Linked DNA regions of Saccharomyces cerevisiae S288C. The gene in region 1 interacts genetically with each later gene. Each region holds a gene or a part of one and is shown in the gene's direction. Other genes may lie near its edges. The genes, in order: HOT13, SRL4, EFM6 and ATG23.

Region 1 (7,718 bases):
ATTTAAATAAAAGTCTAAAGGACCAGCAAAGAGTTATTAGGTGTGATGACGGATGAAAAAGTGAACTCAGATCAGAATATGAACGGTAAGCAGGGAGTTAACTTAATTTCATCCTTGCCTACAACACAAGTGCCGGTTTCAATTTTGACCAACAAGGAGAGAAGAAAAAGTATTCACGATGAATCAAATTTCGAAAGATCTGATAGTCATGAAGATCAATCAAAATCCAACTCTAATAGGAGGAATATTTACAAAAACGATTATAGCACAAATTTGAGGGATTTCTCTTTTGCCAATCTGAAGCAAAATAGTGAAAGGAACAAAGATGGCCATGAAATACAGATCAACACCAGTATGCCAGCTAATACAAATGGCCAGCAAAAAAGGTTTTCACCTTCATTACCTTCTGCTGTTTCATTTACGGTGCCCGAGGTGGAAAGGTTGCCGTATCATAGATATTCGATATCCAATAAACCTGGAAAGCAGCAGCAGCAGCAGGAACAACTGCAGCAAAATCAACAACAAGAAGAGCAGCAAAAGGCACAACTGCAGGAGCAAAATCAACGAGCAAAACAGCAAGAAGAGGTGAAGCAAATTCAGGAGCAAGTGCAAAAAAAGCAAACTGAAAGACAGCAACTGATAGACGAAAAGGAGAGGATAGCGAATGCAATATTTAAGGAGAACACTACTAATGATGGTACTGATATCAGGAAACATTCGGTATCGAGTGGTACGAGCAATAGCGAAGATGAAGTAGATTCACCTTCGATGGAAAAAAATTCTATCGTTCATATGCCAGGTGATTTTATCTACTTCAATCCCAAGTCAAACGCTTCTAAACCTATCACTGCAAAGGCGGCGCCATTATCGGCTAATAACTCCACACATAAAAACAAGGAAGTTATCACTGCACCCACAGGGCCTCGTGTACCCTTCACAGAGTTCTTTCAGAAGGAAGACGACAAGAAATTCCACATTCTCATTGGTGCGACGGGCTCAGTTGCCACAATAAAAGTACCTCTAATTATTGATAAACTTTTCAAGATATATGGGCCTGAGAAAATCTCTATTCAGTTGATTGTCACAAAACCCGCTGAGCATTTTTTGAAAGGGCTCAAAATGTCAACACACGTTAAAATTTGGAGGGAGGAAGACGCTTGGGTATTCGACGCTGTGAATAAGAATGATACTAGCTTGAGTCTGAACTTGATATTGCACCATGAATTAAGAAAATGGGCTGATATTTTCCTGATTGCGCCTTTGTCAGCTAACACACTTGCTAAACTGGCCAATGGTATATGTAACAATTTGCTAACTTCTGTGATGAGAGATTGGTCACCACTGACCCCAGTGTTGATTGCGCCTGCAATGAATACATTCATGTATATCAATCCTATGACAAAGAAACACCTGACGAGTTTAGTGCAAGACTATCCGTTCATCCAAGTTTTGAAACCGGTGGAAAAGGTATTAATATGCGGAGATATTGGTATGGGTGGTATGAGAGAATGGACAGATATTGTAGAGATCGTTAGGAGGAGAATCAATGAAATACGGAAAGCTAGGGACGAGGAAACTGGTGATAAAGAGCAAGAACAAGAAGAACAAGAGGGTGCTGACAATGAGGACGACGATGATGAGGATGACGAAGAGGATGAGGAGGACGAGGAGGAGGAAGAAGCTCTAAATGAAACAGCATCCGATGAGAGCAATGACGAGGAAGACGAAGAGGATGAGGAAGACGTGAAAACCGAAGTTTAAATGCATTAGAAAAGAGTATTTTGTGTTATGTTTTATGTTTTATTTTTTTTTTTTTTGTTTATTCCTTAAAAGAAGATTACTGCTTTTTCATTCCCTAGTTTCTAAATTGAGTGCCTAAATAAGATTAAATAAATATGTATGTGGAAACTAGGGAGGGTATGTTTTTATTTACAGGAATAGTTGTAGTAATTCAAAAGCCTAAAGATTTCCAGAACCGTAATCTAAAGCCCTCAAAACTGTTTAATTTTGGTCTAACATCGAGATAAATAAGTGGTTGTTGCTGCGAGTTTGCATCGTTCAGATCGGTGGAATAGAAATCGATTACGTAGTCGACGGTTTTACCGCATCTATCTATCTGCCAATCATGTCTATCAAAAGGTTTGGCCAGGTGCAAGATACGGGACCTGAACCAGGCCCTTGGTGTCAGTTTTTTGGAATCACCTTTAAAATTTGTTAATTTGATACCGCCACACGCTTCACCACCCTGCTTGTCTTCCCAGCTTTTAATGTAGTTCCAAACCCGCTCATTGATGGAGTTATGTAAAGGCACAACCACCTTCATGTCATCTGAGTTCGGATCCCAATTTTTTTTCATCATTGCCTCGTAAAATTGTTTCTCCGACGGGTATATCCAGTTTCTGTCAGAATTCGTCCTTGGTATGGTGGAAACCTCTCTGGACTGAGAGAGATCCACCGTGGTGTGATATTCAGGCGTTTTATCGTTATCTTGTGGGTTTGCAGAGCACTCTAGTTGATTGCCTGGGGCAGTAGCACCAGGATGCGCTTCGTTGCCATGTTCTCGTAGCCATAACTTTTTGGTTTCCTCATCTACGGGGCATTTCCCCTGTTGGTCTGAAGACATCATAATATGTAAAATAGAGACGAATGAAAAGCACGTGAACTAACAAACTATTTACTACTACCGAAATGTGATGCTTAAGCCTTTGGCCTCTGCAATACTAGCGATTGCTTTTTCCCTGATTAGTAAGCTACATCATTTATACTACATCTTTCTGTCTTAGAAGGCTTACAAACATCGAAAAGCTGGAACTTTGATTTCGAAAAAAATATGCCGTTACCCGTTGCGGGTCCCTTTTTTTTAGAAGGCCGGCCCAGAAGTCGCCATTATTTTTAGTCATTACAGTAGCCCTGTTGGGTAAGGATGCGATGCAATACATGTCAAGAGGTGTTGTATATAAACCACAATATCTACCATCAATGAGCTATATATACTTTTCTTACTGAAAAAAAAAACTACAAAACCAAGTAAAAAAAGAACAATATGTCACTACAAAGCAACAGTGTAAAACCAACAGAAATTCCTCTCTCAGAGATCAGACGCCCCCTAGCGCCTGTGTTGGATCCTCAAAAGATCGACGCAATGGTGGCCACAATGAAGGGCATTCCCACCGCTAGCAAGACATGCTCTCTAGAACAGGCTGAGGCGGCTGCCTCAGCCGGGGAACTGCCGCCCGTGGACGTGCTGGGCGTGCGAGTCAAGGGACAGACGCTATATTATGCCTTCGGCGGCTGCCACCGTCTACAGGCATACGACCGCCGGGCTCGCGAAACGCAGAACGCCGCCTTCCCCGTGCGCTGCAGGGTGCTACCGGCCACTCCCCGCCAAATCCGCATGTACCTGGGCAGCAGTCTCGACATCGAATAATGATTACGCTAATAACACTACATAAGAAACATAGATAAATTATAATTCACTAATACAAAATCCCTCAATTTAATTAATCAATTTCTTATTCAACAACTAGAGTAGGCACTAGCAGTTTGTGCGACCCTCGGCGCCGGAGAGGTACAAGGGACCTGGCGGTTGGGCCTTCCTGCCAGCTTCTCCCCCCCTTCTCGGCATTCACTCAGCGTTCATTGGCTCAATCACGCGCCAAGCGGATTCCCAGAAAAATACAAAAAAAAGTTGCCATAATACAATGGCGGATATTACAATATATATAGCTTGCGCTTTAAAAAGAAGTGTTAGCACGCATTGGGTGTTTGTACTGTATTCCTCCACTTAAGATAACGAATACACATATAGATATACAATATATTATACGTGGACATCTACGGAAAGGAAGAAAAAAAACAAAAGGAAAAGGAAGGATACCATATACAATGTTGTCAAGAGTAGCTAAACGTGCGTTTTCCTCTACAGTTGCCAACCCTTATAAAGTGACTGTTTTGGGTGCAGGCGGTGGTATTGGACAACCATTGTCTTTGCTTCTAAAGCTTAACCATAAAGTCACGGACTTAAGACTGTACGACCTAAAGGGCGCAAAAGGTGTTGCCACCGATTTGTCTCATATTCCAACAAACTCCGTGGTCAAGGGGTTTACTCCAGAAGAGCCAGACGGATTGAACAACGCTTTAAAGGACACAGACATGGTTTTAATTCCTGCTGGTGTGCCCAGAAAGCCTGGTATGACACGTGATGACTTGTTCGCCATCAACGCAAGCATCGTTCGCGATTTGGCAGCAGCAACCGCCGAATCCGCTCCCAATGCTGCCATTCTGGTCATTTCCAACCCAGTCAATTCTACCGTTCCAATTGTCGCCCAAGTCTTGAAAAACAAGGGTGTTTACAACCCAAAGAAATTGTTCGGTGTGACTACCTTGGACTCTATTAGAGCCGCCAGATTCATCTCAGAAGTCGAGAACACCGATCCAACTCAGGAAAGGGTTAACGTCATCGGTGGACATTCTGGTATTACCATCATCCCATTGATTTCGCAAACAAACCATAAGTTGATGTCTGATGACAAGAGACACGAATTGATTCACAGAATACAGTTTGGTGGTGACGAAGTCGTCAAAGCAAAGAATGGTGCTGGCTCTGCTACGTTGTCAATGGCCCATGCTGGTGCTAAATTCGCTAACGCTGTTTTGTCCGGTTTCAAAGGCGAAAGAGACGTCATCGAGCCTTCCTTCGTGGACTCTCCCTTGTTCAAATCCGAAGGCATCGAATTCTTTGCATCTCCGGTCACTTTGGGCCCAGATGGTATTGAAAAGATCCATCCAATAGGTGAGTTATCTTCAGAAGAAGAAGAAATGCTACAAAAATGTAAAGAAACCTTGAAGAAGAATATCGAAAAGGGTGTCAACTTTGTTGCTAGTAAATAGATTGTTCAAGATCAGAAATAGAGTGAAAAATAGGGAAAAAAAAAAAAAAATTCTACTAATAAGAACGGAAGACTACTCGCCATCATGAGATTACGACATCTTTTTTATTTAATTCTTTGTTATATTTAGCCAATTGAAAGGAAGGAAACTGCCAAAAATCAACTAGAGAAAAATTCATGCTATTCGTTGCTCCTACACCTTTTTTTCTTCCGTAGACGAGGAAAAACAAAAATGATTAAATAGGCGCGCGCGGTGTGATGGTGATGATAATGATGATGATGATGATAATGATGAATAAACGTTTCGGTTTACGAGTTTCTTTAAATATACATATATGATATAAAAAAAAAAATACGTACCACTTACAATTTGCAAATATAGATGATCGAAACTGCCATTTATGGTAAGACAGTGGATGACCAATCTCGATGTGTCCACTGGCATCTTCCAAAGGATGTAATTGCCATCAGGTTTAAATGTTGTGATAAGTACTATGCGTGCTTTGAATGCCACCAAGAGTTAAGTTCTCACCCGCTAGAAAAATATGATCTCCTTGACGATGCAAATAAACACTTGATTATTTGCGGAGTTTGCCGTCATGAAATGACGTTTGCAGAGTATTACGACTACAATTCAAACCTTATTTGTCCCAATTGCAGATCCCCCTTTAATCCAGGCTGTAAATTGCACTACCATTTGTATTTCCAGAACCCTCCCCCCGCTATGTGTTGAGTGTTGTTCTATAAATGCATGCCATCTTAAGCTCTGCTGTGCTCTTCTCGTTAAGGAAAAAATGCGATGGTATATATATAGATATATATATATATATATGTATCTGTATATATATGTTCATACATATATATATATCTATTATTGTTGTTATTATTATCGTGATTATTATTTAGGTCCTCCCTTCTTTTTACCTGTTTTTAATCTACCCTCAAATCCGGCTCTTTTCTTTGGTACGGCACTACCGACATACTTTCTTTTCATCTTTTCTTGCTTATTTCTCTTTTTACCCTTGTTGTCTTTCCTAATCCTCAGATTCTCTTCTCTTCTCTTTTGTCTTTCAGATATCGTGTCTTCCACAACCCTCTTACGTTCGCTCCATTCAATCGCAGACTTTCTCTTTTGTGCTTCCTTTCTCTTTATAGCTTTGCGAAGTAGTTTTTCGTCATCCCTAATCTTAATTCCTTCTGCTTGTAACATAGCCTTTTGCCATTTTTCCTTTTCCTTCTGCTTGATTTGTTCTAGTTCGTCTTTCGCCTCCATCTTATTCTTCTTGGCTTCTAATAACTTTAAGTGTGATTTTACATCATTCTTAGCCGGACCCTTCGTTCTACCAGCTTTTCTTAACCTTTGTAAATCTGAAGTGGCCCTTGCACCATCATCGAATATGATATTTTGAAACATTACACCATCTGCGTTAATTTCTGAGTCCTTCTTGCCTTTTTTGAATCTTTTTTTCGAATTGTTTTCTAAATCACTATCGATGTCTTCCATATCGGAATCAGACGCAATTTCATCCTGATCCTGTTCCTGTTCACTTTCTAGACGCTTTCTTTTTTTCAACTCTTCCTTGCGTTTCCTTTGAGCAAGAATAGCCTCTCTAGAACCGGGTGCTTTCCTTTTACTCTTCATATCTGAAATTTTCGCTTGTAACTTGGAACGTAGTGCTTCCAAGTTTTTCTTTCTTTGTAGTTTCTCTTCCTCTGTAATAGACTTCTTTTCGACAGATCTATCGGGCTCTGTAGTATCTTTTTTAGATTCTAATGGTATTTCATTTCCCTCATCATCAAAGATCACCTTAATATCCTCTTCCTCTTCTTCATCTTCGTCTGGTGCTATTATCATAGGATCGTTTACTTCTACGTTCAGGTCGGAGTCTCCTTCCACTTTTGATGTTGCTTCCTTTTGCTTTTGCATTTTCATGTGCTTGAATTTTTCACCAGGTAGGACCACCGGCTTTGCGTCTTTCTCCTTCTTCTTCATTACTTCTAATGTACTAGATGTTTCATCATCACGTTGCTCCGGGTCTAATTTTTTCAGTTTATCATTTTTACTCTGTTCTTTGGTTTTCTTCTTGGCCTTCCATTGCTCTTGACTTTTTTCATCATAATAGTATTTTGCAGGAATTAAAGCCAATAAACCATCGAAGGCGCTTGAATTAGCACGAAGGCGCTCCTCAAGTGAATTACTCATCTCAGTCTCCTATATCTTTCAATTCCCGGACTTTCTTTATCACTTGCAACAACGTCTCAGTCCTCACTTGTTATTCATCTCTTGGTCATCTCATCTCTTTTATTGTACTTTCCTCTTTTCTTTACCGGAGATGAGAATAAAAAGAATTCATTTTAAAAAATTTTCAATTTGGTGTCTGGGTGAAACTTTTTAATCGTGTAATCCCAATTAAACCACTCTACTTTACTTTAATTGGTACACGAACTCATTACACACCTTTGCCTCTATTGCTTGTGTCAATCGTGTTGAGAGAGGAAGCCCAAAACAAGGGAAATTAACCTCTGTAGGCAAGCCATCACATTTGGCAATAGCAGCCCTCATTTAATTTAATTCGGCATGTGGCCGGCAGGGTAATGCGCTCTGCTGCTGACAAAATTGAAAGAAAAATTTTTTTCATCAACAGTTTGCAATACTTTCTTTTTCATATTTAATTCATCCATTCCGTCGTTAATTTTGTTCAAAACTGGTGTCCATCCTTAATACCAACTCAATTCTTTGATTTTGGCCCTCGATAGATTCAAGATGTCCCAAGGTACTTTATACATTAATAGATCTCCAAGAAACTACGCTTCTGAAGCTTTGATTTC
Region 2 (7,795 bases), on another chromosome or scaffold:
GAGATCTCCACCACCTGTTGTAAGCTCTCAGCCACAAATGAACTCACCATTATCCTCACATTCACAAACTTTCGGAGAGAATAATGGCACGAATGACAAATTACTACAAGAACGCGAATTGCAACTCCGTAAAAAGGAATTAGAGCTACAAGAACGTGAACTGGAGTTCCAGAAAAGAGCATTACAGCAACAAAGATTTAATAATAGCAATAATTCAATTCCAAGAAAGCCTTCCTTCCCTCAATTACAGCAGTCTGCAAACGTTCGTTCTAACAGCAGAGGAATGCATGGCACCAATGGCGCTATGTCTCAACCTGCATCCGCCGGAAATTTTGTAGACCCAATTTCTTCAAGTATCGCTGCATATGACCCGCAACAACCTCCTTCCTTACCCCTACAGCAGCCACAACAATCGGTACAAGTACAACCTTTTCACTCACACTCTATCAAGCCCACAAGTAGGAAGAATAGAAATAGTAATATGCCTAATATTGGTAATCCTTCCAGTATAAATATGAGTGATTTTGGCAGACCACCGAACAATTCAAGTCAAACTCGCTTAAATTCCATGCCAACGCATAGCATCGTAAACCAGAATAGATTGAGATCACAACAATCGAAAAACAAACTGAATATGCCACATGCCACCAACCCAAACAATACTTTTAACCAAGTCCCTGCTCCTAGTTTAAACAATCACGTTCCCACACAAAGGCAATTTAGCTCCAGTACCATGATAGAAGTTACAAATAATAACAACAAAGTTAATAACAGTAGTAGCAACCCTGATATTTCCACCAACTCGGTAGTTCATAACGCAATGCAATTTACAAATACAAACAACAATACAAGTAGCACTGTGGATATAAACGATCCCAAAAATATTGCACCCCCTCCTACAACCTCTGTTTCAGCCCCAAGCACTCCAACCTTGTCCTCATCAAGTCAAATGGCGAATATGGCTTCGCCTAGTACCGATAATGGTGACAATGAGGAGAAAAATGGTGGTAAGAAGAAGAGATTTGGCCTATTCAAAAAAAAAAATAAATCAAAGAAATAATATCCTTCGACAGCTTAATGAACACGCATGTAAATGTTTTGTAAACAGTTTGTTTTTTCGTTTTTGTATCTGTTAATTTTCTATTATTTATTTTTTTAGTTTTTTTTTGCGGTAGAATTGGGTTATCACTGAATCTATTTTATTTTTTGGGTTGGTTTCTCCCTGTTTTCAGTTTGTTTGAATTGGTGTTTAACAAAATCTGGAATTATTCACTATAATTATTTCCTCTTTTTAGTTTGACCAAATAAACTCAACTATCTTGTGTTATTTCTTTGTATTATAGCTTTACACATATTTAACTATCCATACCTTTTACTTTTTGTATATACTGTTAATTTCATAAAACACGTTTTAGTACCAGAAAATCGTGTCATAGCACCGTTTTAGCAGTGATTTTTAAAATTGTCCAAGGTGCCAATAAATACTGGTGGGAACAACATTTTAATTAGAATAGCTAAAACCTTCTAAGAAAACTATCCCAGCGTAGAAAGAAAGAAATCTCTATCAGCCGCGCAAGTGCAGTATCTCTTATTTTTGCACGGCCCCGTCGCTATATTGTCACACGCATTTGAATTAGTGACTCAATAATAATACAGATTTGTGACGTATAAAGAAACCACAGAAAAACTGCGTATGTCCGAAGCACAGGTCCACTAGTAATAGAGCCCAAAAATCTGACATGAAGAAAACAATTTACAAAGTCCTCGTAAGTTTTTATCAATATGTCGGTTTAGGTAAAAAGTTCCATCCTAGCCACGATACAGTATTAATTATTGGCGGTTCTTCAAATGAGTTAGGCATCGAGCTCTGCGAGACATTTATAGAAGATTATCATACAAAGGTTATAAATATTGACACTATAGACAGTATTAATGGAAAAAACGCAAGGAGAAGTGAAAAACTGTATACTTTTATTTCTTGCAAAGATTTCAGTGACATAAAATGTCTTGAGGAATCCATGCTTTACCTTCAAAATTTAGAAATAATTCCTACAGTGCTCATTAACAACATGCAGGAGGGAATCGAATCGACTCTTCTCAAAGAAGACAAATTTTTGAGACTTGATGAAGAGTCTTTAAATGAATTCGAGAAAATCGTGAGGTATAATTTACAAAGTGTAATATTGATAACTAAGTTCTGCTTGAGTAACATTTTTCCAAAGGTTCAAGCTGAAGCTCAAGAAAAAGCAAAGGGGTTCTATATTGTCAACATATCATCGGTATTGACGTTAAAACCGTGCAAATCAGGAACACATTTTATTACATCGAAATGTGGTATAAACTCTTTCCACGATGGAATAACCTCAGAGCTTAAATTGAAAGATAGTAATTTGAATGTAAAAACGCTGATTGCATATTTACCCAGTTTTGAAAGTGAAGCACATTGGAAGAGACTTTCCCCGAGTATCTCGAAACATCTCGTCCACTGTCTACTTGAGGGAAGATATGGTGATACAATTCTCGAAAGCAAAAGATCAATTGGTGATATTCTTTTGATAACTGGTTTCAAAAGCTCTTTTACTTAAGGGTACTACAAATCGAAGTAACAGTGATAAAATTGCTAAGCACATATATTTCTATAAATAATTCAAGGAAAAGAAAGGTAACACTACAATTTTTATGATGATAAATAATTTGAATAAACCGGCCAGAATAGGCCAAAAAATTTTTTTTAAGTCTAACGAGATTCTCCTCCAAGGCAATAAGAATCAATAAGTCTTAGTACTGATGGTAGCTCCAATACAGGCACATTGAACCACTCTGTATGCCTCTTTTTTCCAGTTGGATCACACCCATAACAGTAAACCAATCCTTTCCCGTATTTCTTCCATAAAAATTTATGAATAGCGCTTTCGATATCTGGTAGTTTCATTGAACCTTTTCCGCTAATGAAAAATCCACCATCTTTATAAGTGCGTAGGGTTGGCACCTTAGGATCTGGAAGGGAAGGCTTGTGTGAGTGACTTTTATCTTTGATGAAAAGTTTCTCCATTTTTTTTTGTAAGCTTGATAATGAAATGGGCAATAGCCTGTTTGAACTGATATTTTTGCTTTCACTTTTCAATTTCAAGTGGTATAATTTATCGACTTTCTCTGGAGTCAAGTTTATCACTGGATGCTTGCATGTGGTTTGCCATTCTAAAAGTCTTGAATCTACTGTTTTTCGAGTGGTCATTCCTATCTTACATAGAATAAAGTCTCTGTCTACCCATTGTCTCTTCTTTTTACCATTAGTCCGAACTATTGACTCATCAATAAATAGCCATTTTAAATCTACCGTCTTTTCAGATATGTATGATTCAAAGAGGTTACTGTATGTATAGATGTAAATAAAACCCGGTTTATTTTGCGCATTATCTCTTGGTGCCCGTGTGTACCTTGCATCTTGCCACTGATGATAATGACAGTACTTTTTATCCGACGGTATGTTTATCTTGCACCGCTCTCCCTTTTTTGTTATGCCTAAGACATCTCATAATAGATTTAGCTTTGATGAGCACTTTTCTGATATAGTCTTATCTATGATGGGAAACAATTCTTTATTTCTCTTGACATTTGATTTCTTATGGTGTTGGACTTCTCGCGGGAGAGGCGCACATACACGACTACATGATAATAACATTATTAGAAAAATATATCAACATAAAAGAAGAAACTGATATAATACGTGCAATGTGCTTGTATGTAAATAAGTGTGCATTATATGTTTATTAAAAATTAAGAATTAGATTGATTTAATGTTTCGAAAAAAAAAATATTTAGTCATTTCACCATGTTGGATGGGAATTCGTGTGTTGTTATTGGAATGATTCTTCCTTTTTGGAGAGGAAAATAGTCAAAAGAACACGAAATAATATGAAAAAAATTTTCCATATGAATTTGCATCCAATCAAGCAAAAGATCGGCCTACTTCTGATATGTGGATATGTTTGTTTGTGTGTGTGTGTGTGTGTGTGTGTGATAAAATTGACAGATATGATGCCACTTAGTCTAAAAACTTGTGTGTAAACTTTAAAACTGTAACATCATATCGAAGGTATCAAACAGAGCACAATTGAAGAGGCATTAATTTGATTTTTGTTGACCGTGTTCTTTTATAACGTCTTGGCTTCCTTGGTATCGACAAATTGAAATGAAAATGAGGAATAACAAAAAGGAGATCAATAAGAAAAAAAATCAGATGGATGATGTTTAAAATTACTAACTGCTTTTTTCGTGTTGAGTAGAAACTCTTTGCATAGCAGCCATGAAATCTTCGACACTTCTTGTAGACTTCTTTTCCTTTAATGACTTACCATTCATCAACCTATCAAAGGCTTGAGACGTGGACATAATATAGTAAAATCCTCCCAATACACAAAAAATACCAATGGACCAAATCCAGACACGAACGACTGACACAATATCAGTCCAGTTTTCAGACCACCAGCCAAATAAGGTAAACATGGTAGCAATAATATCAACGGCGAAAACGGCACCGGCTAACTGCCACGATGGAATGGAAGACCAGAATGGGCCAGCAGCTCTAGTGACAAAAATTAACCAATTTTCAGTTAGTGAAATCTGCAGGAACATGACACCATTCATGGCACCAAAATTTTGGATAATACCACCATTAGGCAAGAACATGGTGGTTAAAGTAATCCAAGAACCTATAGCTAAAACTATGCCCAAAATAATAGACATACCCCATAATCTTGGTAGGTTCCATTTCACAGGTTCAGGAGCATAAGGAGCATTGTCATAAGCAATAGTTAAAGTGGCAACGTCTGCGAAAATAGCAATAAAAACGATCAAATTGATATCCAAAGAGTTGTTTAAAATAGCAATCCATAAACCCAGGAAAATCTCCAAATGTAAGGATAGGGCAATACGATAAACAACATAGGAGTACATTCTGTGGAAAATCTGTCTAGAAGTCTTTAAGGCATCAATAATAGCAGAGAGACCAGGGGCCAAGAAAACAATATCAGCGGCTGATCTGGCAGCATCGGTAGCACCTTCGACAGCAATACCAGTATCAGCCTTCTTCAAAGATGGGGCATCGTTAACACCATCACCAGTCATAGCAACCAAGTAACCTCTGTTTTGCAAGATTTCAACGACTCTGTATTTATGCTGTGGGAAAACTTCTGCGAAACCATCGGCATTTTCAACAAAATCAGCCAACTCTGAACCAGGCATATCACCTCCACCTCCCAGACCTAACCTTTCTGCGTTATAAATGTTTGTACCAAGTCCTAATTGCCTACACGTTTCTTTCGCGATACCAACAGCGTCACCGGTTAACATCTTGATTCTCAAACCAAGGTTTCTGGCCTCATTGATTGTTTGAGCGGTGTCATCTCTAGGGGGGTCCATACATGGCATAACACCCAAGATTTCCCAGTGACCTTCCCCTCTCTTTCTAGCAACACCTAAAGCACGGAAACCTCTAGAAGCTAGTTCAGCAACCTTATTTTCGTAGTTTTCATGCACATCTTCCGGAATTGGGTGATCTTCTTCAACAGTCTTCAAGACAAACAATGGGGCTCCCTTGACACAAACAATTCTTTCACCTTCTGGGGATTCTACAACAGCGGTAACCTTTTTTGAGACAGGGTCGAACGGATGGAATTCCAAAACTTTGTACTTGGTCAGGGCGTCTTTAGCTTTTGGATACTCAATCAATGACTTCAAAAAAGCCTTATCAATAGCATCCAAACCTTTCTTCTTTCTAGAGGCAGCTAAACAAGCGGTCAACATCAAGTCGTCCGGAGAAACGCCTTCGACAGTGTAGGGTTCGTGTAAAGATAACTTGTTTTTGGTTAAAGTACCAGTCTTGTCAGAACATAAAATCTCAACACCAGCAAGGGATTCAATAGCAGATAACTTTTGAACAATGGCTTGCTTCTTAGCCAAGTAAGCTGCACCGACAGCCATGGTCGTGGTAACAACTGCTGGCAAACCGACTGGGACACCAATGATGGTTATACCCAAAGTATATCTCAAAATGCTTACAATACCGACCGTTCTATAGAAACATGCGGTCCAGACCAACAACAAAGTAGCGATAACTAGAACAAGTAAGATAATACCAATTCCATTCAATACTTCAGTGAAATGGCCCTCTACACCGGAAGCCTGCCCCACTAAGGCGGCAGCCCTACCGACGAAGGTATTGTCACCAGTGGCAGTAACAACCATAAAAGCCTCGCCGGTTTTCACAGTGGATGAGGAGAACACCTCATCACCGTAATGCTTTTCAGCGGCTAAGGATTCACCAGTGATGGCCGATTGATCGATCTGCAAAAAACAGTCTTCAGTGACAATACGACCATCTGCGGGAGCAATTGTGCCACTTTCCAATTGCAAAATCTCACCAGGAACTACCTCATTAGCCGGAATTTCGATCAATTGGCCATCTCTAATAACTGTTGCAGTATTGGCCAACGTCTTTTTCAGCTCGTCTACGATGGAACCTGCCTGGAATTCTTGAATAAATCCGACAGATGCGTTTAATAGCAGTAAAGCACAGATGACACCGACATCAACCCAATCAGACAAACCGGCAGCCAAAATAGCAGCAGCCTCCATAACGAATTGAATAGGCCCTACGAAGAACATCAAAAACTTCACAATCAACGATTCATTCTCCTCAGCCATTTGATTTAACCCATATTTCTTTCTTCTCCTGGCGACTTCATCCGAAGTCAAACCATACGCAGGGTCCGTAGAAAGGTCCTTTTCAGGAACAACCCTTTGGCCAGCGTGCACCCCATCAGTACGTACTTCTTCTTCACCAGATTCATCACCCTCACCGTAGTTAGATTGTAGTTCATCAATCAATTGGTCTATATCTTCATCTGAGTCAGAATCATCAGCGGCAGAAGCGGCTGCGGCCTTCCGTGGAACGGCTGCAGCCGATGACGAGGCGGAAGTTGATGTAGAAGACGAAGATGACGAAGAAGCGGCAGAATTATTTGCAGGGTCATCGCCATCACTGGCATGGAGGTACTCTTTCGAGGGTTTCTCCTTGTATTGCTTTGCTTCAGTGGAAGACATAACGCAAAACAGTTTCCTTTTGCTTAAATTGTACTAGCACACAGCAACGAAAAATGAAAAAAAAAAAGTTATGGGTATGTTTAAAAAAGCCCAGTAGCTTGGATACAGTAGGTTATCCAGCAAGAAATGCTGGAAGAAATAATAGATGGTAAAAGAGGATATTACACACCTTTATATAACGAAGTACCATCACACCGCCAATTACGTTTAGGGGACGCCGACAAGAAGTAAATTCACTATTATGTACTTACAAATATGTTTCCACCGATAACCTTTCCCCCTTCGACGGTTATTTGAGCAGCGTCTGTCCGCCATTTTTCCAGAGAAGCTACTTCATCAATCAATTGACTTCGCAATTCCCTTAAACAAAAAAAATTTCTTTTGCCCTCCCTCGACGATTTTGGAGTAGAGAATACCTTAGGCCTTTTTTTTTCTTTTTTCTCACGGCTGCTCTTCCTCTTTTTCGCATATTCTATTTTATCATCGACTTCCCTAATTCGCACTCGTACCAAAATGTTAAGCAGTATGGCGAAGAACGTGGCGCGCTGGAGTCGTGAATGTTTGGGTCCTTGATGATGGACTACGGTAGTAAGTATGTAGTAGTTGCAACTTCATATGTTCACTTCTGATCCAAGGAAGAGCGGTTATGAATTAATCTCTTGGCATGAGCGGACGGGTAAGGGGACACCGC
Region 3 (7,934 bases), on another chromosome or scaffold:
ATATAAACCATATTTGGAGAAAGTGATGAAAAAGGCACACATATTGGAAGATATACCCAAGAAAAAGGGCAAACCACTCTTTTCAAGGCTAACTTTGTTATTGCTTTGCCATGATTTGCTGTTGTCTAAGCAGAAAAGAATTCAAATGGGCAAACACCCCATCAAAGATTATGTTTTGAAGTTTAAGAGCCCATTGCATAGCGAAATGGTCAAATTGAAACTCAAATTGAAAGTAAGAGAGCTATCTGAGTTGGTATTAAGCGAGGATATTTCCAATGACCTTCCTCCTGTTAGATGGATTAGAATCAATCCATTAAAATGCCATCCAAATGGTGAGACTGAGCCGGTGTTAGCCGAATTGAGGAAGAAGTTTACTTTAAAGGTAGACAAATGGTCTGAACTAGTTCCTGGGTCTATCTATTATGATGAGTTTATTCCAAACTTGTTTGGAATTCATCCGTCTGACAAAATTACAGCACATGAGCTTTATAAGCATGGGAAGATTATCATTCAAGATCGTGCTTCTTGTTTTCCAGCCCACATTTTGAATCCAGGACCAAGTGATATTGTGATAGATTCCTGCTCTGCTCCAGGTAATAAGACTACCCATACGGCCTCTTATATATATCCCGAACCACCGAAGGACAATAATACTCGAATATACGCTTTCGAGAAGGATCCTGAAAGAGCAAAAGTTTTACAAAAAATGATCAAGATAGCTGGCTGTTCTCCCAACATCAGTGTCAATGTAGGTGATTTTACAAAGCTCGCTACTCCTGAAAAATATAAGGACGTTACTTGTTTTATTGTAGATCCGAGCTGCTCCGGTAGCGGTATATTTGGTCGTAAGTTTTTTGACTCATTTAATAGAAGGAAAATTGATGATAAAGATGACGATGGTGGCATTGTGCCGGATGAGCAAGAGGAGTTTATAGCAAAGGAAGAACTACAGACAAGGTTAGCGAAGCTGAGTTCATTTCAGTTCCAGATGGTAAAGCATGCAATGAGTTTCCCAGCGGCTAAAAAAATAGTATACAGCACATGTTCCATTCATGCGGAAGAAAATGAACGAGTCGTCATAGACCTTCTTTTAGATAAGTCAGTTAGAGAATGGGGTTGGAAAGTAGCGCCAAAAAGAGAAGTTATTCCTTCTTGGCCTAGAAGAGGCAAGGTAGAAGAGTTCGAAGAGGTTTTTAGAGATGGAGTCACCTATGACCCTCAACAGCTTGCCGAGGGTTGTATCAGGGCACTACCAAAAAGTGACGGTGGTATTGGTTTCTTTGCTGTCTGTTTTGAAAGAGATTAAACTTTCAGAACATTCATGTATATATGTGTATATCTGATATGTATTATTGCATTTTTGCTGTAGTACTACGGAAAAGACATTTCAATAATCTATACATCCCGCACATAAAGGAAGATTTTCGGGTAATATACTATTATAAAAATTATCGATGAGCTCTGTGAAAAGGTCGTAAATATAAAAGTTCTTTCTTGCGACAGTGGCAACAACCAAGTGAAACAGCGTGAGACGAGACTGCTCTAATCTATTTGCAGTCGTAGGCATTACAAATGACCGAACATGAGTCTTTAGGCCTGGAGCAAAATCAAGACGGCGGTGACACTTATAGACATCACAACCTAAGCGATGGGTGTATTTCGAGTGTTGAAGACGCCAACGAGCAGCCTAGTTCGTATGAAGAGGAAAGTGATGATGATATGCAATATTACGAACGTGCGATCCAGGAAATTTCTAGCGGTGACTCATATGTTTGTATGATTTGTACAGTAGAGATGGATTATACGTGCCAAATGTTTGCTTGCAAGAGATGTTATAGAGTGTTTGATTACGGATGCATAAGAGAATGGGCGTTAAAATCAACGGAAAAAACCGTAGATAGAATATGGAAATGTCCAAACTGCTATTATGTTAGCAAAAGAGTTCCGGTAAAAAATCGGCCCACATGTTGGTGCGGTAAAGTTGTTAATCCTGATCCGAATCCGCTGGATCCTAACTCATGTGGACAAACCTGCAATGCTTCTACTTGTATGCATGGTTGTTCCAAAATTTGTCATCTAGGGCCGCATCCAGAGTGTACTAGAATGGTCGAGATTATGTGCCACTGTGGTAAGCATTCGAAAAGTATCTTTTGTTACCAGTCTAAAGTTATGAAAAAAAACTTCAACTGTCAAGAAGTATGTGGATTGCCTTTATCTTGCTCCATCCACACCTGTAAAAAGAAATGCCACCCTGGCTTATGTGGGCCATGTCCAGAAATGATAATTAGTAAAGATAGTCCGAAAAAGCAAATAAAATGCTACTGTGGTAACCACACTCGTGCTAACATAAAGTGTAGTGAAACAAAGTTTCCCAAGTCCGGTAAGTCGTCGAAGGATGAAAATGGGAACAGGTGGATAGGCGTGTTTGCCTGTGCAGATAATAGAGTTGTCGACTACTCATGTCGCAAGCATTCATTCATAGAATCTTGCATAAGCCCACCCACAATTAATGGAGAAAAGGCATGCCCATTTTTGCCTAGCTCTTTGAAAACTTGTCCCTGTGGCCGGACAGCCCTAGAGGAACTGACTAAGCCTCGTAAGCATTGTGATGATCCGATACCAACCTGCGACTCAAGATGCGGTAAACCACTAAAATGTGGCAAACATTCGTGCCCCTTCACTTGTCATGATAAAGCCTGTATGGAACCCTGCTTGCAAATTGATAGTGTAAAATGTGCTTGTGAGCAAAGTACATTTTCAGTTCCATGTGGATTTCAAGGAAGGCCTCGCTGCAATATTAAATGCGAATCCCTGATGTCATGCCGTAGACATAGATGCACCGATAGGTGCTGCAGTGGTAGGCCATCGGCGATAAGAAGGAAGAAAAACTTGTTCAGAACGCAAGATTTGTTGGATGAGTCTCTTGTGGAAGCAAAACATATCTGCCTAAAACCGTGTAACTTGACCCTATCATGTGGAATTCATAAATGTCAGAGAAAATGTCACCCAGGAAAGTGTCCGCCCTGTTTAGAGAGTGATTCGAACGATCTGGTCTGCCCATGTGGCAATACAGTTGTTCCTGCACCCGTGCGTTGTGGCACGAAGCTACCTACATGTAATCATCCATGTATTAAAGTTGTGCGTGGCGAATCTACGTGTGGTCATAAACCAATGCCACATACCTGTCATTCCTTGGATGTGTCGTGCCCGCCATGTACGGAAACCGTATTTAAACCTTGTAAATGTGGGAAGAAAACTAAAGTGAGAACGGTTTGTTTTCAAACAGACGTATCATGTGGAATAAAATGTGGGATACCACTCTCTTACTGTTATCATACCTGCCAAAAAACATGTCATTTACCAGGAAATTGCCAAAAGGTGTGTAAACAGACCTGTGGGCAAAAAAGGCTCAATTGTAATCATGAATGTCCTAAACCGTGCCATGGTAAGACAGAGTGTCCCGATTTACCTTGTGCCACGCTAGTGAAAATTTATTGTAAATGTGGAAGGATCAAAAAAAGTGTTACTTGTGGCGCAAAAAGTGATAGAGTAAGTGTAACTGAATCTTCCGTGCTGGATTGCAATGAAGAATGTGAAGCTTTGAAACGACTAAAGGAATTGAAGGAGGCATTTGGAATTAAGGAAGAAACCAATAATTTTACAAGTAATGAACTAGATGCGTTAAAAAAACTGGTCTCTGTTGCTACAACATTTGAAGAACTGCAGTTACCGTTTACAGAGGCAGCATTATCAGTATATTCAAAGCAAGAAAGATGGTGTTCACAAATTGAAGCTATTCTTAATAAATTAATGGACGATAAAACACGTTCAAGCTTGCATTTCAAACCTATGAGGCCTCCTCAACGCCACTTCATCCGTGAACTAGCCAAAGCTTACGGCCTATATTCCGAGTCTCAGGACAGAGAGCCCATGAGATCTGTATTTATTAAGAAAGAAGATAATGGCGCAAGCAATAAACCAGTCTTATCATTAGCAGAAGCTTACCCACTATATGAATCATTTAAACAATTGCAGAAGGAAAGGAAAGCACAAGAATTTCAAGCTCGCACCACAGCTAAACTAATCAACTTCGAGGTTCAAGATACGGAACCTAAAGTAGAGGTGGCTAAGAAAAATGGTTTTTTGGTTCAAAATTTGGTTGCTGGAAATACTGCCGAAGATCTAAGGAGATTTTTTGAACCACATCTCAAGCATACGTTAGTAGTGAATCCTCAATACCTAATCCTTGATGATGGCAAAACAGCACTAGTGTATCCTGAAAATTACGAAACAGCATCCGTGAATACCGAACGTGACATGGAGCTTTTGGTTGGACACTTCGATTTTATGGCCAAAGAGGCATTTTTGGCCGATTCCATTTCGTTGTGTTCAACTGAAGAAGAACTTGAAAGAAGGTTGGATACGCCCGTAATTCAAGAGGATAGTCCTGTAATGGATAATAATACATGAACTATAATAGCGTGTCATTATTTATTACGCGGAATTCTAATTAAATAGAAATATCTAACTTTTATTTTTTTTCATCCTATCTCATTTCTTGTTTCTCCCTGTCGTTGCTAAAATACGAGGATCTGCATATGTTTACATATCAACGTTCCCGTAAACGAATGGAGAATACTGAGTGTCACGTTAATAATACGGATATTATAATTTGGAAACCTAGTCAAGTAAAACCAGAAGAGATTTTTCTTTTCTCTTAAGCTTTTTTGGCTTGACCAAACGAAAAGTCCCTCACACCCAAACACTGAAAGTAATTCTTCGTATTTAAATAATTCAAAAGTTATGATGAGCAGGCTCTATGTAAAAAAATGGCCCATAATTTTCCCTAGAACGTTATAAAAACGCGACTAGTGAGGTATTGAGTATGGAGAGTATATTTGGTGGGTTTGGAGATCTAGTTGTTCCTAGGCCAAAGGAGCATCTCGGTCAAACAGACCTTTCCTTCGGTGGAAAATTATTGCCTGCATTGAAAATTTGTGAAGATGGCGGTGAAAGTGGTTGTGGCGGTAAAGTCTGGATCGCTGGCGAACTGTTGTGCGAGTACATACTCGAGAAATCAGTTGACCATCTGCTAAGTAAGACGGTCAATGGTACGAAACAATTTAAAAAAGTCTTAGAATTGGGTAGTGGTACAGGTTTAGTTGGATTGTGCGTGGGGTTGTTGGAAAAAAACACATTCCACGATGGCACTAAAGTATATGTTACGGACATTGACAAGTTGATACCACTATTGAAAAGAAATATAGAACTGGACGAAGTTCAGTATGAAGTTCTTGCGAGGGAACTTTGGTGGGGTGAGCCGCTGTCGGCAGATTTCTCACCTCAAGAAGGTGCTATGCAAGCAAATAACGTTGATCTAGTTTTGGCAGCTGATTGTGTGTATCTCGAGGAAGCTTTTCCATTACTAGAAAAAACACTACTTGATCTCACTCACTGCATAAACCCACCTGTAATCTTGATGGCTTACAAGAAGAGAAGAAAAGCTGATAAACATTTTTTCAACAAGATTAAAAGAAATTTTGACGTTCTTGAAATTACAGATTTTAGTAAATTTGAACATTATCTTAAGGAAAGAACCCACTTGTTTCAGCTTATCAGGAAGTAACCTGACACAGTGAATTTATCTCTTAATGATCCTGATCTTATTATATTTAGTAATGAACTTTTCGATAGACATTTGTAATTCATGAAAAAACGATATAACATTCATTTTTGTAGTGTGGTGTACGCATGGTGGGACTGCTCTTCTTGAGCGAAATTTTGATCTTCAATAGAGTGAGCAACGACAACTCAAGGATAAAGACAGAACAGCGGTAAACATCGTTTGCAAAATAACTAGAGAGCCGGATCGATTTACTTTGCAAAGTTGCGTCCTTTTTCCACGACAGAATATGTCTGCATTATTTAATTTTCGTTCTCTTCTGCAAGTGATATTGTTACTGATTTGTTCATGTTCTTATGTTCATGGGCAGTGGCCGTCTCTCCTAGATCGTTACAAAAATCATGAGGTTTTGGGGGCCTTCTGGAAAATGGCACGTGTTGGTGAAAGGGCCAGTCCATATGTTAGTTTAGCATGTATTTTGATGGCCATCAGTCAATTTAACAGCTGATTGGAAGATACTTAGTCATATGGATTTAAAGTTACGCAAATCAAGGTCATAGAAGGTGCAGTACCTTTTAAAACAAAGAGTATAAGTGGATTCAGACGAAGTGTCTCTTTAATTCTATCGTCTGATAGCGTACAAGTAAGGGTGCTATGAGCTAGCACGCACAGCAAAAATATAAACACTTTTGTATTTTTTTTTATTTTATAGTGTTTTGTGTTGAGTATTCATCTATTCGACCTCTATAGAGATTTAAGAAGGGAATTCATTGTCACAATAAGGACGCATAGTTGTTCATTTTAGACATCATTTACAGCACTTCCGTAAACTACCCCATATTGCGATTGAATACTACCGAAAAGGCTCAAGAATTTACGTGGTGCCCAATCAATTATATAGAATGAGGAACAATGGTAAGTAATGAATAATCATGGTCAGTAATAAAAAAGCAATCTCGTCCATGTTTCTTTTTGAAACTCAGAGCTTGACTCTGTTGCATTGGTATTTCATCATTTGATGAATTATTCACTATTCCATCTTCTTCTTACACAAGTTTACCAATAAATAACTCATCTGAGTTATTCAGACTTTTTATTAGATCAGTTCGGCATATTTAACTATGCAAAAGTTTTACACTGCTAAAAAGTAGTGTAAACAACAAACTGTTAAAAAAATAAAAAGGGGTGAATCCATGGACCAAGAATAGTAAGCTCCATTGGGTTACTCGATCCAGCACGGGAAAGAGCAATCGTCATAACTATGGTTTAGATTCCATACAAACGGAATCCAGTACCGAAGAAAACACCAGTACCCTGCAATAGAGGTACCAGGTCAAGAAGCAGAATACCCAAGGGCATCCTCCTTAATGAGTTGATTTAAACAATTTAAAATTTTTAAATCTCATTACGTTTTCCGCATACGAATTGGTGGGAGACTTTCAACCCAAAGCATATTACTGAGTAAAAAAAATTTTACTCCATTTTGTAAGCTTCGATTTGTGACGATTCTTTGGTCATGGATTGAAGAACTTTAAACGAGAAGAAATTAGAAAACAGGTGAAGACCACTATTTAGTTCTTTACCGCAACATAGGATAAACAAAGTTATTTTCTTACTCCTTTATATATTTGAAAAAATATAAAATCCACGGAAAAACATCGAAAATTCATTTTTCATGAAGGAAAATTAGGGTTCATACAGGAGTAGAGTTCATTGATGTGGTAGCAACCTTGTTAGCACTCATATTGTTCGAACAAAAAATGCCCTCTCAAACTTTAGTTGAAGAGCGATAAGGCATCTGAATCTCAAAAGTTAGACATGTCGGGGAGCTTCTGGACATCTACACAAAGGCATCATTGGCAATATACCAAGGCATCATTGGCTAAAGAGAGGCAGAAGTTATGGCTATTGGAGTGCCAGCTGTTTCCTCAAGGTTTGAATATTGTAATGGATTCGAAGCAAAACGGCATCGAACAATCCATCACAAAGAATATACCAATAACTCACCGAGACTTACACTATGATAAAGATTATAATCTAAGGATCTACTGCTATTTCCTGATAATGAAGCTTGGAAGGAGACTAAATATAAGACAGTATGCACTGGCTACAGCACATATTTATCTATCAAGGTTTTTAATAAAGGCTTCAGTTAGAGAAATAAACCTATATATGCTGGTTACTACGTGTGTATATTTAGCATGCAAAGTTGAAGAATGCCCGCAATATATCAGAACTTTGGTAAGTGAAGCCCGTACCTTATGGCCCGAATTTATTCCTCCTGACCCTACTAAAGTTACTGAGTTTGAGT
Region 4 (8,452 bases), on another chromosome or scaffold:
CATCCAAACCTGCTTCGACTAATAGTCTTAACCTTTCCTTATCAGCATCGATAGTACCGATAGCAGCACCACATAACAGTTGCTTGGTGGTGGCAGATTTAGAAGCCAATGGATAGTTCTGATTTTTCATTAAATCAGTTCTGGAAAGCATAGAAACTAAGTTACCATTGTCGTCAACAATCAATAGCTTACCCTTTTTAATCTTCTTTAAAATTTCATTACCTTCAGACAATGTAATACCTTGTGCACCGGTGACAGGGTTTTTGGTCATAACATCTTGAACAAGCAAAGAGTTGTCTTCAACGAACTGAATATCACGAGAAGTGACGATACCCATCAATTTTCCGTTTCTTTTACCATCTTCTGTAACGGGGAAACCGGAAAATCCAAATCTTTCCTTCATACTCTTAGCTTCACCCACAGTAGTAGTTGGGGAAATCACTATAGGGTTGTTAATAAACCCATTTTCATAGTTCTTGACTCTTCTGACCATGTCAGCTTGGTCCTCTGGGGTACAGTTGTGGTGAATAAAACCGATACCACCCAACAAAGCCATGAAGATGGCCATTTCTGATTCTGTCACGGTGTCCATTGGAGAGGAAACGAATGGGGTGTTCAAAGTGATATTCCTTGTCAACTTAGTTTGTAGGCTAACTTCAGAAGATGGGAAATCAACCAGACCTGGCAAAACCAAAAAGTCGTTATAAGTCAACCCACCTCTGGTCTTGGAGTCCATCAACTCCTGGACAGACAAACCATCTAGTCTTGGTAAGCTCTTGGCGAATTCCAAGGCAGTCTTGTAGTCTCTAACGGCGGCCATTGCTTTTACTACTTTCGGAGTTATTAATTGCACTGATAATATTTACTGCTGTTAACCTGTCGATGACTTCTTTTCCTTAGAATAAAAGTGAGACAGATGAGATGACGTGCTTTTCTGCGAGTTTAGAAAGTCTTTCTAAGTTAAGTTATATAGAAGCAAGAAAGAAAAGAAATAGAGTAAAAAAGAGAAAGTTCCCAGTACACTAGGTGAAAATGCACAAGCCCACGAAACTGGAGTAAACCTCCAAGGGTCCCAACACTCAAAAATCTTGTTGGATCTCGGAAGGGCAAATTATTCAACTATTTATACCTTTCTATTTCTTCTTTTTTTTTTTTTTTTTTTCAGTGAAAAATTTTTCATTTTTCGGAAAAAGAAACGTGTGCGGCTTTGAAGGCTAATATTTATGTAATTAACCAGAGTTAGAAATGAACACAATAGTGGTTAAAGAAGCCACTGGGTCACTGGAAAAAAGTACATCTTGTTAGCCATCAAGTAACAGGTTTATGTATTGGGAATTATGGTTTTTCAAGTTCCCTTGTCTCTTTTTTCCCGATATCCTAGCCCTAGGACAACTTGTAGGGTATCAGCGCATATGTTCAAAAAATTTAAGGGCGTAAGCTCTGGCGTTTAGGTGCGCAATTAACAAAAGGTATAGATAGTCTTTTTATAGTGTAAATCATATACAAATAATAGAACACAGAGAACGTCTGTATATATCTATTGGAGAACCGGCTAAGGAATGGAAAAGTGAAGGATAGAGTACGTTTTAGTTCAAGTGATTATTTTCGTTTTCTTGTTCCACATTTTAACCTCGTTGTTCTATAAGGTAACAAAATAAAGTGAAGAAGTAAATATGGAACTGAATCAGGTTTTAGAAAAAAAGGAGCAGATTCTGCAATACTTAGGCACTCTGGTCGGGCTTCACGAAAAAGCGTTGTCTGATGTAAATTCGGCTTCCCAGGTGACAAGCATCCGGAAGGATATCACTATTTGCTTAAACGATCTATGCAGAATTAATGATCTCTTAGTATCCCATGATGGTCTATTGAAAAGAGAAATTGGGTCCTTACTTCGAGACAAACAAGAGCTACTAGAACTGAACGAAAGAGAGCAGCTTCTTTGGAAAGAGCGGAAGTCGTGGCATATTAAGCAAGAAACCGATGCTGCGCCGGCGGACTATGTTATCGATAAGGACGCCATAATTACCATTTCATCGCACCACCGGACATCACTAAACAAATATATCGAGTCAGTGGGGGCAGAAAATACAATACTATCCAATACGGATGATTCGGATGCAATGATCGAGGAAGTACAGAACGCTGAATCTTCTGCGGATCAAATGATACGTAATTACAAACTGTTACAATTATCTCATAAGCAAGCTAAATCAGAAATAATAAGGCTGGAAACTTTATTAAGAGACTTCAAAAAGGACAATAAATTCATTGAAGAGGAGTTAAAAAGGCAATCTGGACGGATACGTTCCGAAATGGGTAATATTGATTTTCATTTGTCCAAGATAGAGGAATCTAAGCATCAATTAATGAAAAGAATAGGATTCGAGTCGCCCCTGACACAGGAAAAATCACTATCAGAAAAGATATTCAATTTAAGGCTGTCCAGCGCGGATGAAGATTACAATGAGAGACAAACTATCAACATGAAAAATTTTGTTCATATGAAGGATCTCATAGAACTGAAAATTGAAGATCTACAAGAGCAACTAATGAGAAATAAAAATGAGTCTTCTACAGTACTAACGCAACGTGAATTATGGCTAGATTGTCAAAAAAAAGTAGGAGATTTGGAAAGCAAATTAATAACCAAACTTCGGAGCAGCAGCAACTCCAAAATACCTCCAAATGAAATGTCAGAAATGATCAATTCTACAATACAGTACCTAAATAACCTTCTTGACTCTTCTGATGAAAAGCTCACGACAACTTTAATATCAAACGAAAGGGACGTACTTTCGAAAGCTTGTGAAGAACTCCATAGCGAAAGTACCACTGCACAAGATGGGTCAAGCGCACTACCTTCTAAACCAATTGATATACACAAAAGCCATAAAGGGTCGAACGCGAGTTCAAATTTAAAACAGCCCTCGACTCCCTCATTCTTGGTTGCTAGCAAATCGCCACCAAAGATTGGCATTTCTGAAAGTGTAGTAAACGCTAATAAAAATGATGCCATATCAAAAAAAGTTGAATGAAATGCAAATAGCTAGAGTAGCCATGAGGATAATGTAAATTTAAACATTGTATGCCCACGTAATAGTCAAACTCTTTCACGTCAAATTGAAAAAAAATGTTCTTTTTGCTGAAATAATGAAAAATAATGAAAAATAATGTTGCTATTAAATTCAATATAAATGTATACACCAATATATATGCAGGTATAATTCCTAACACTTTTACTTCAAGATCATGATCTAGGCTTTCTTTTTTTTGGGATAAATGGGCTAGATGAAGCATTCCGTCTCGAACTGTTGCGTGTGCCTGTGGGCCCACTACCAGGTCCTTTGAATGCTGAAGATTGTGGTTGCGGATGGGGGTTTAAATCATATGGATCTTCTGCCTCAGCAGGATAGCTGTCTTGCGGATGGGCGGGCAGAGTTTCATGCAGTTCGCCTGTACCCACAGGAGCCGTTGAGTATTGATTCGCATTACCCACATGTTGAGAGAGGGTCCTATTTGCTCCATTCTGTCCATTTTGATTGGGTTCACCGTAATCGGAAGCAGTCAGGATCCTCGAAGAACCACCGGATAAAACACTATTTGAACTTCTGTGTTTTGTAATAGCAGCAGGTACCTGCGTCTGCTTTGCTTGCGAAACTTGTGGATCGTCGTATATACTAGCGCTGAAATTTTGGTTATGAGAAGCCACCCTGTTGTTACGACCATTTGCTTCACTTTTCATTAATGAAGAATCGGAGATTGACGGCGTATAATCATCTTCGTCATCATCATCCTCATTATTACTGATTTCAGGCGGAGAAATTGTTCTCGTCTCCTTCAAACCTAACTGCTTTTCCTTCAATACAGAGGATAAACTTCTGGTCACTTTAATTTCAGGTTCGTCATTTCTTGGTATGAAACTAACATCATCCGAAAAACAAACGTGTTTGTTATTTTTCTTTTTACCAACAACTGCTGCTGCCTTTTTGTTGCTGTCCACATCAGGAAAAGTTTTAGGAACTACGGCACTCGGTACACTCATTCCACCAAAAATGGATGACTTTTTCTTTGTACCAGATGAGGTGCTGGGCGATTCTGCCTTCTTGTTATTCTTTTTCTTATCATCTGCCTTGGACTTTTTCTTTTCCTTCTTCTTCTCTTTCTTCTTTTTCTTTACAGCTTTATCTGCCTCTTCACCTTCATCGACAACTCTTCTCTTCTTTGTGTCCTTATTGGATTTTACCTCATCGGGGCCTTGCGTAATATATTCCATGGGTAGCTTATAATCATCTTCTTGCTCTGATGGTACGGGTACATTGAACTTTCTTAAAATACTTTGAGCTCTATTATTTCTGGGATCCAGGAAACCCGAGCAAGCATATGCAAGACAACTTCTATCTTTTGCATCTTCAATCAAATCTCTCCATAACTTGCTTTTAGCCAGAGACCTTTGATGTCCCAAAACCCAAATACTTGTCTTGGCTCTAGTCAGAGCCACATTCATACGACGAAAGTCCTTTAAAAAACCGACACTAGATTTCGTATCATCGGCACGGACACACGATATCAAGATGATTTCTTTTTCTTGACCTTGGAAACCGTCGATTGTATTGAAATCGATTGATTTGTTGATCATGCCTCCAAAATAGCGGGCAAACTCTTTACGCATTTTTTGCATTTGCTCTCTATAAGGTGAAATTATACCGATTTTTCCCGTGAAATCAATTTTATTATCGAATTTTCTGAAAAGGTAGTCAACTAACTCAATGGCAACACGTATTTCCTCCATATTTGTATAAGACATAGTCTTCGCATTTTGTTCTTGCCTACCACTAATGATGTCAAAAAATTTGTAGGGAGCTAATGGCTCAAGCTGGTGCCAGGGTCTTTTGTTCAAGATATCCATACCAGGGCCGTCTTTTAGTCGTCCCTGATAAAATTCAGAAGAGGGGAATTTACTGATGGAAGGATGCATACGGTATTGAACATCCAGCAAGTATGGGGAGCTATTTTTCTCCATTCTAACGAACAGTGACTGATTGTATTTAAAATTGCTTGCTGCACCTGAAAGAACAGTTGGTGGTAGTTGGTTAGGATCACCAACCATAATACAACGCTTCCCTCCATACCTGAGAGGAATAATTGAAGAAAGTTCGGTACATTGACATGCTTCATCTATAATGACCGTATCAAATTTAATACCCATTGTTGCGAGTACATCATGGGCTGAACCAGATAAAGTCGAACATATGATGTCACTAACCGCCAAGATATGGGCCTGTGCATTCCTTCTATCCAAATCCCTATTCCTATAATTTACGGAATTCTTCTCACGCATTTCGTCCCTATCACGGCCAAGTTCATTGATTATTTTACTTAGCTCCCTAATCTTAAGTTGTAATTTACTGATATCTTCGGTTGACATTGGACTTTCTGGATTACCACTCTCAGAGTCTAATTTTCCTCTCAATTCTCTTCTTTTAGTCACAGCATTATTAAATTTACGTTCTAGTTCCGGATCTGTTCTGATTTCGTAATTCCTTTCACCTATCCTTTTATCCACAAGTTCTTCTAAAGTAAGGTCCTTAATTGCAACGTTTACAACGTCTGACCTACCTACACGGACCAATTGAGGTTTAAATTGATGCCCCTGCTTGTCATACACTCCACTCTTCAGTCTGAGGCAGATTTCGTCCACAGCGGCATTACTGGGGGCACAGATTAGAATTTTTTGCTTTTTTAACAGTTGTTCAGTATTCGATGAGTTCTTTTCTAGTGGCACTTTGATGACATTTGAAGATGAGGCATTCTTTGTAGACAAAAAGTAACCAATAATACCCAGTATAGTCTTTGTTTTACCCGTACCAGGTGGACCCTGAATTAAAGAAAAACCTTCTTTAGATACCGAATTAACGATGGCCTCAGCCTGCGACGTATTGAGCTTATAGCTTTTCTTAACTGTTTCAATTTCTGCCGCATCCACATTTACGGGAGGCGATGGTTTAGCCTGTAGAATTTGGCCAACTAAGTCATAGTATTCCAGCCCTTCCAGTGTTGAATACTCTCTTTCAATAGTCGTCATTTGCATAACCTTCACACAATATATCTCTGATCTTAGTGTCAAAAATTTACTGAAAGAATGATTTCTATGAATTCGTAATGTGACATCAACATTACCACCTTTGGTATTTTTCAATGTTCTCACCTTTGCTAAACATGTATGTTGTGCTTTCTTGAAATCATCACTGGACAACCTTTTGTCTGGTCGAAAATCGGGTAAATAAGCCATTACAATTAAGTCAGATTCAGAAATACCACAATCCTGTATGACTTGTTTAGCGACAGAGGCATACACATCATAGAAATCTGACACAGCAGTTCGATTTCCTACAATAATACTGAAAGGTTTATAGTCCTCTCTATCACGTGAAGAACATAGACCTTGCCAAGATTCTAGAAGTAGTAAAGGCTTCATGACTTTTTGGTAGTCAGCAGGAGAGTTGAAGAAATCCTTTACGTCAGAATAATTACCAATAGGCTCATCATCAGGATATTCACTATTTCTGGTGTAATCCCATTGCAATATGATTTCATATAGAGGGTTCATATCAACATTTAATCTCTTTCTCATATGTTCTAACTCCTGTTTAGCCAATTCAGCCGCAGTTTGTCTCTTGACAACCTTACCATTAATATCGACAGTTTGTATTCCTTTGCCTTTTGCCTTAGCAATAGCAAAAAGCTCCCGAGCGCTTTCTATATCGTTGTCACTCTCCTCACTACTGCTATCGTCGTTTTTGTTAGACAAACCCCTACTCTTTGTATGGAAAGCTGGCGCACTAGGTGGATGAACAACTCTGTTGTTTAATAATTGCATCCTAGCTAATTCCATTTTGGATAAAGGCTTAACAGGTTTTGTACGATGCAGTTTAGCATTAGCTGATGATTGGAACGTACCAAAAGATGTTATTTTAGGCTGAGCTACTCTTGGTCTCCCAGTTATTGAAGAAGATAAAGCTTTTCTTTGTAAATAGTCTGCCCTGGATTCAGCAGAAGAACTAGCAATGGTTGAAGACAGAGAGGGCGAGAGGGATGGTGACGCCGGCACAGAATCCGTTAAGTCGATCACCTTCCCAAGTCTTGATAATTCCTTTTCTTTTCTGTAGTTTTCAGCTTCTGTAGCGACCTCTTCCGTGAGTGCTTTATTGAATATTTTAGCCTTTTGTAGAATCTCACTCGCCTGTTGCTCCGTCAACTTATTTGAAAATCTCTTTGCCTTCGAGGCGTACTTGGCCATCATTTCTACCAAGGAATCATCCACTTTCACATGCTTTTCATGTGCTAAATCAGACGTGCTTATAATTAATCTAACACAAGATTCCAAAAGTACTTCGTCGCTCAATCTCAGCCAATACAACATATTCTTAAAGGTTTCTAAAACGTTGAGAAGTAAATTTTTCGTTTGGTCATGAAGAATATCTGAAAATTCTCTAAAGGAGTCCACCAAAGAGCGACTTAGATCTAAAGTATCTTTGGTGAAATTTTCCAGTTCAGAATAGTCATATTTAGAAGCCCATTTCAAAGTAAACTTATAAATCGTATCCAAGAATAACCAACATGATTCCCAGAATTTTAAAAATTCCTTTTCGGTATTTTGGCTCTTCAAAGTTTGGAAATTAGCAAACACACCAGAAATCGGGTCTACAAATGCACTCACTACGTCCATCAAAACACGAACAGCACGGGGGCAAGGCTCATAGAATTCACAATTGATTAATCTTTGTAGCATCACGTTTATATTCTTCAAGTTAACGGTCAAATTACTATTCAGAATCGCTAAGATACCTTCCAGTCTACCCTCAACGTCAAATGTATTGTATAAAATATTAGTAGCTGCTTGATACAAGTGTTTATCAGAGGAGAATATGCAGGACCAAAAACCCTGCGATGCATCTTCATCCGCAAGGATTTTAGACAGTTGACCGGGCAAAATATCCGCAAATTTTTCCATTAATCTCGTTGATAGCAGCAAAAACTTCTGATTCAATGCGTTGTGTGCCTCAGCTACGGCAGTATTTGACGGTACTATCAAAAGACCATTAATATTTTTTAAAGATACTAGCAGCTGTTTGGCCAGCAATGGACCGTCATGAAAAGATCTCAGGTCAATTTTATTTGTAACATTTTCCAAGACGTTGGTTGAAATTGGAATTTCGCTAATTGGTTTACCTGAATAAAGCTTAAACGTTCGATGACATAATAACAGTATATCAAAATCGATACATTCTGCCAATACCATCATCGTGGATGTGGCCACCGATGCAGAAGCAGCACCTAGCCCAGGATAAAAGTCGTTAGGATTCGAAGCTGATCTAATTATTATGTCTTGGATCAAAGGATTGTTGAGCAAAGCTCTAGAATCTGTTTTAGTCAACAGTACTGTTTCAAATTC

The links.
Region 2: mutations in HOT13 (region 1) and SRL4 together harm fitness more than expected from each alone (negative genetic interaction), as found in Saccharomyces cerevisiae (one large-scale study listed by BioGRID).
Region 3: mutations in HOT13 (region 1) and EFM6 together harm fitness more than expected from each alone (negative genetic interaction), as found in Saccharomyces cerevisiae (one large-scale study listed by BioGRID).
Region 4: mutations in HOT13 (region 1) and ATG23 together harm fitness more than expected from each alone (negative genetic interaction), as found in Saccharomyces cerevisiae (one large-scale study listed by BioGRID).

What each region holds. Positions count from the first base shown.
Region 1 is NC_001143.9:275,238-282,955, forward strand, and holds HOT13 (Hot13p), read left to right. Parts: upstream 1-5,271; coding exon 5,272-5,622; downstream 5,623-7,718. Other genes in the region: phosphopantothenoylcysteine decarboxylase complex subunit CAB3, read left to right, coding at 46-1,761; cytochrome c1 heme lyase CYT2, read right to left, coding at 1,952-2,626; SRX1 (sulfiredoxin), read left to right, coding at 3,044-3,427; malate dehydrogenase MDH1, read left to right, coding at 3,886-4,890; ribosome biosynthesis protein RRP14, read right to left, coding at 5,788-7,092; TEF4 (translation elongation factor EF1B gamma), read left to right, coding at 7,654-7,718. UniProt on the Saccharomyces cerevisiae protein: Required for the assembly or recycling of the small Tim proteins in the mitochondrial intermembrane, thereby participating in the import and insertion of multi-pass transmembrane proteins into the mitochondrial inner membrane.
Region 2 is NC_001148.4:482,152-489,946, reverse strand, and holds SRL4 (Srl4p), read left to right. Parts: upstream 1-1,739; coding exon 1,740-2,585; downstream 2,586-7,795. Other genes in the region: SVL3 (Svl3p), read left to right, coding at 1-1,060; YPL034W (uncharacterized protein), read right to left, coding at 2,738-3,235; H(+)-exporting P2-type ATPase PMA2, read right to left, coding at 4,261-7,104. UniProt on the Saccharomyces cerevisiae protein: May be involved in the regulation of dNTP production. Induces the SOS system when expressed in E.coli, therefore, it may play a role in DNA metabolism and/or in genome stability.
Region 3 is NC_001146.8:584,799-592,732, reverse strand, and holds EFM6 (putative protein-lysine N-methyltransferase), read left to right. Parts: upstream 1-4,885; coding exon 4,886-5,626; downstream 5,627-7,934. Other genes in the region: rRNA (cytosine-C5-)-methyltransferase RCM1, read left to right, coding at 1-1,306; FAP1 (Fap1p), read left to right, coding at 1,573-4,470; KSH1 (Ksh1p), read left to right, coding at 5,913-6,131; cyclin-dependent protein serine/threonine kinase regulator SSN8, read left to right, coding at 7,442-7,934. UniProt on the Saccharomyces cerevisiae protein: S-adenosyl-L-methionine-dependent protein-lysine N-methyltransferase that methylates elongation factor 1-alpha (TEF1 and TEF2) at 'Lys-390'.
Region 4 is NC_001144.5:994,925-1,003,376, reverse strand, and holds ATG23 (Atg23p), read left to right. Parts: upstream 1-1,673; coding exon 1,674-3,035; downstream 3,036-8,452. Other genes in the region: IMP dehydrogenase IMD3, read right to left, coding at 1-820; DNA/RNA helicase SEN1, read right to left, coding at 3,248-8,452. UniProt on the Saccharomyces cerevisiae protein: Required for cytoplasm to vacuole transport (Cvt) vesicle formation and efficient autophagy. Plays a role in ATG protein retrieval from the pre-autophagosomal structure (PAS) and is especially required for autophagy-dependent cycling of ATG9.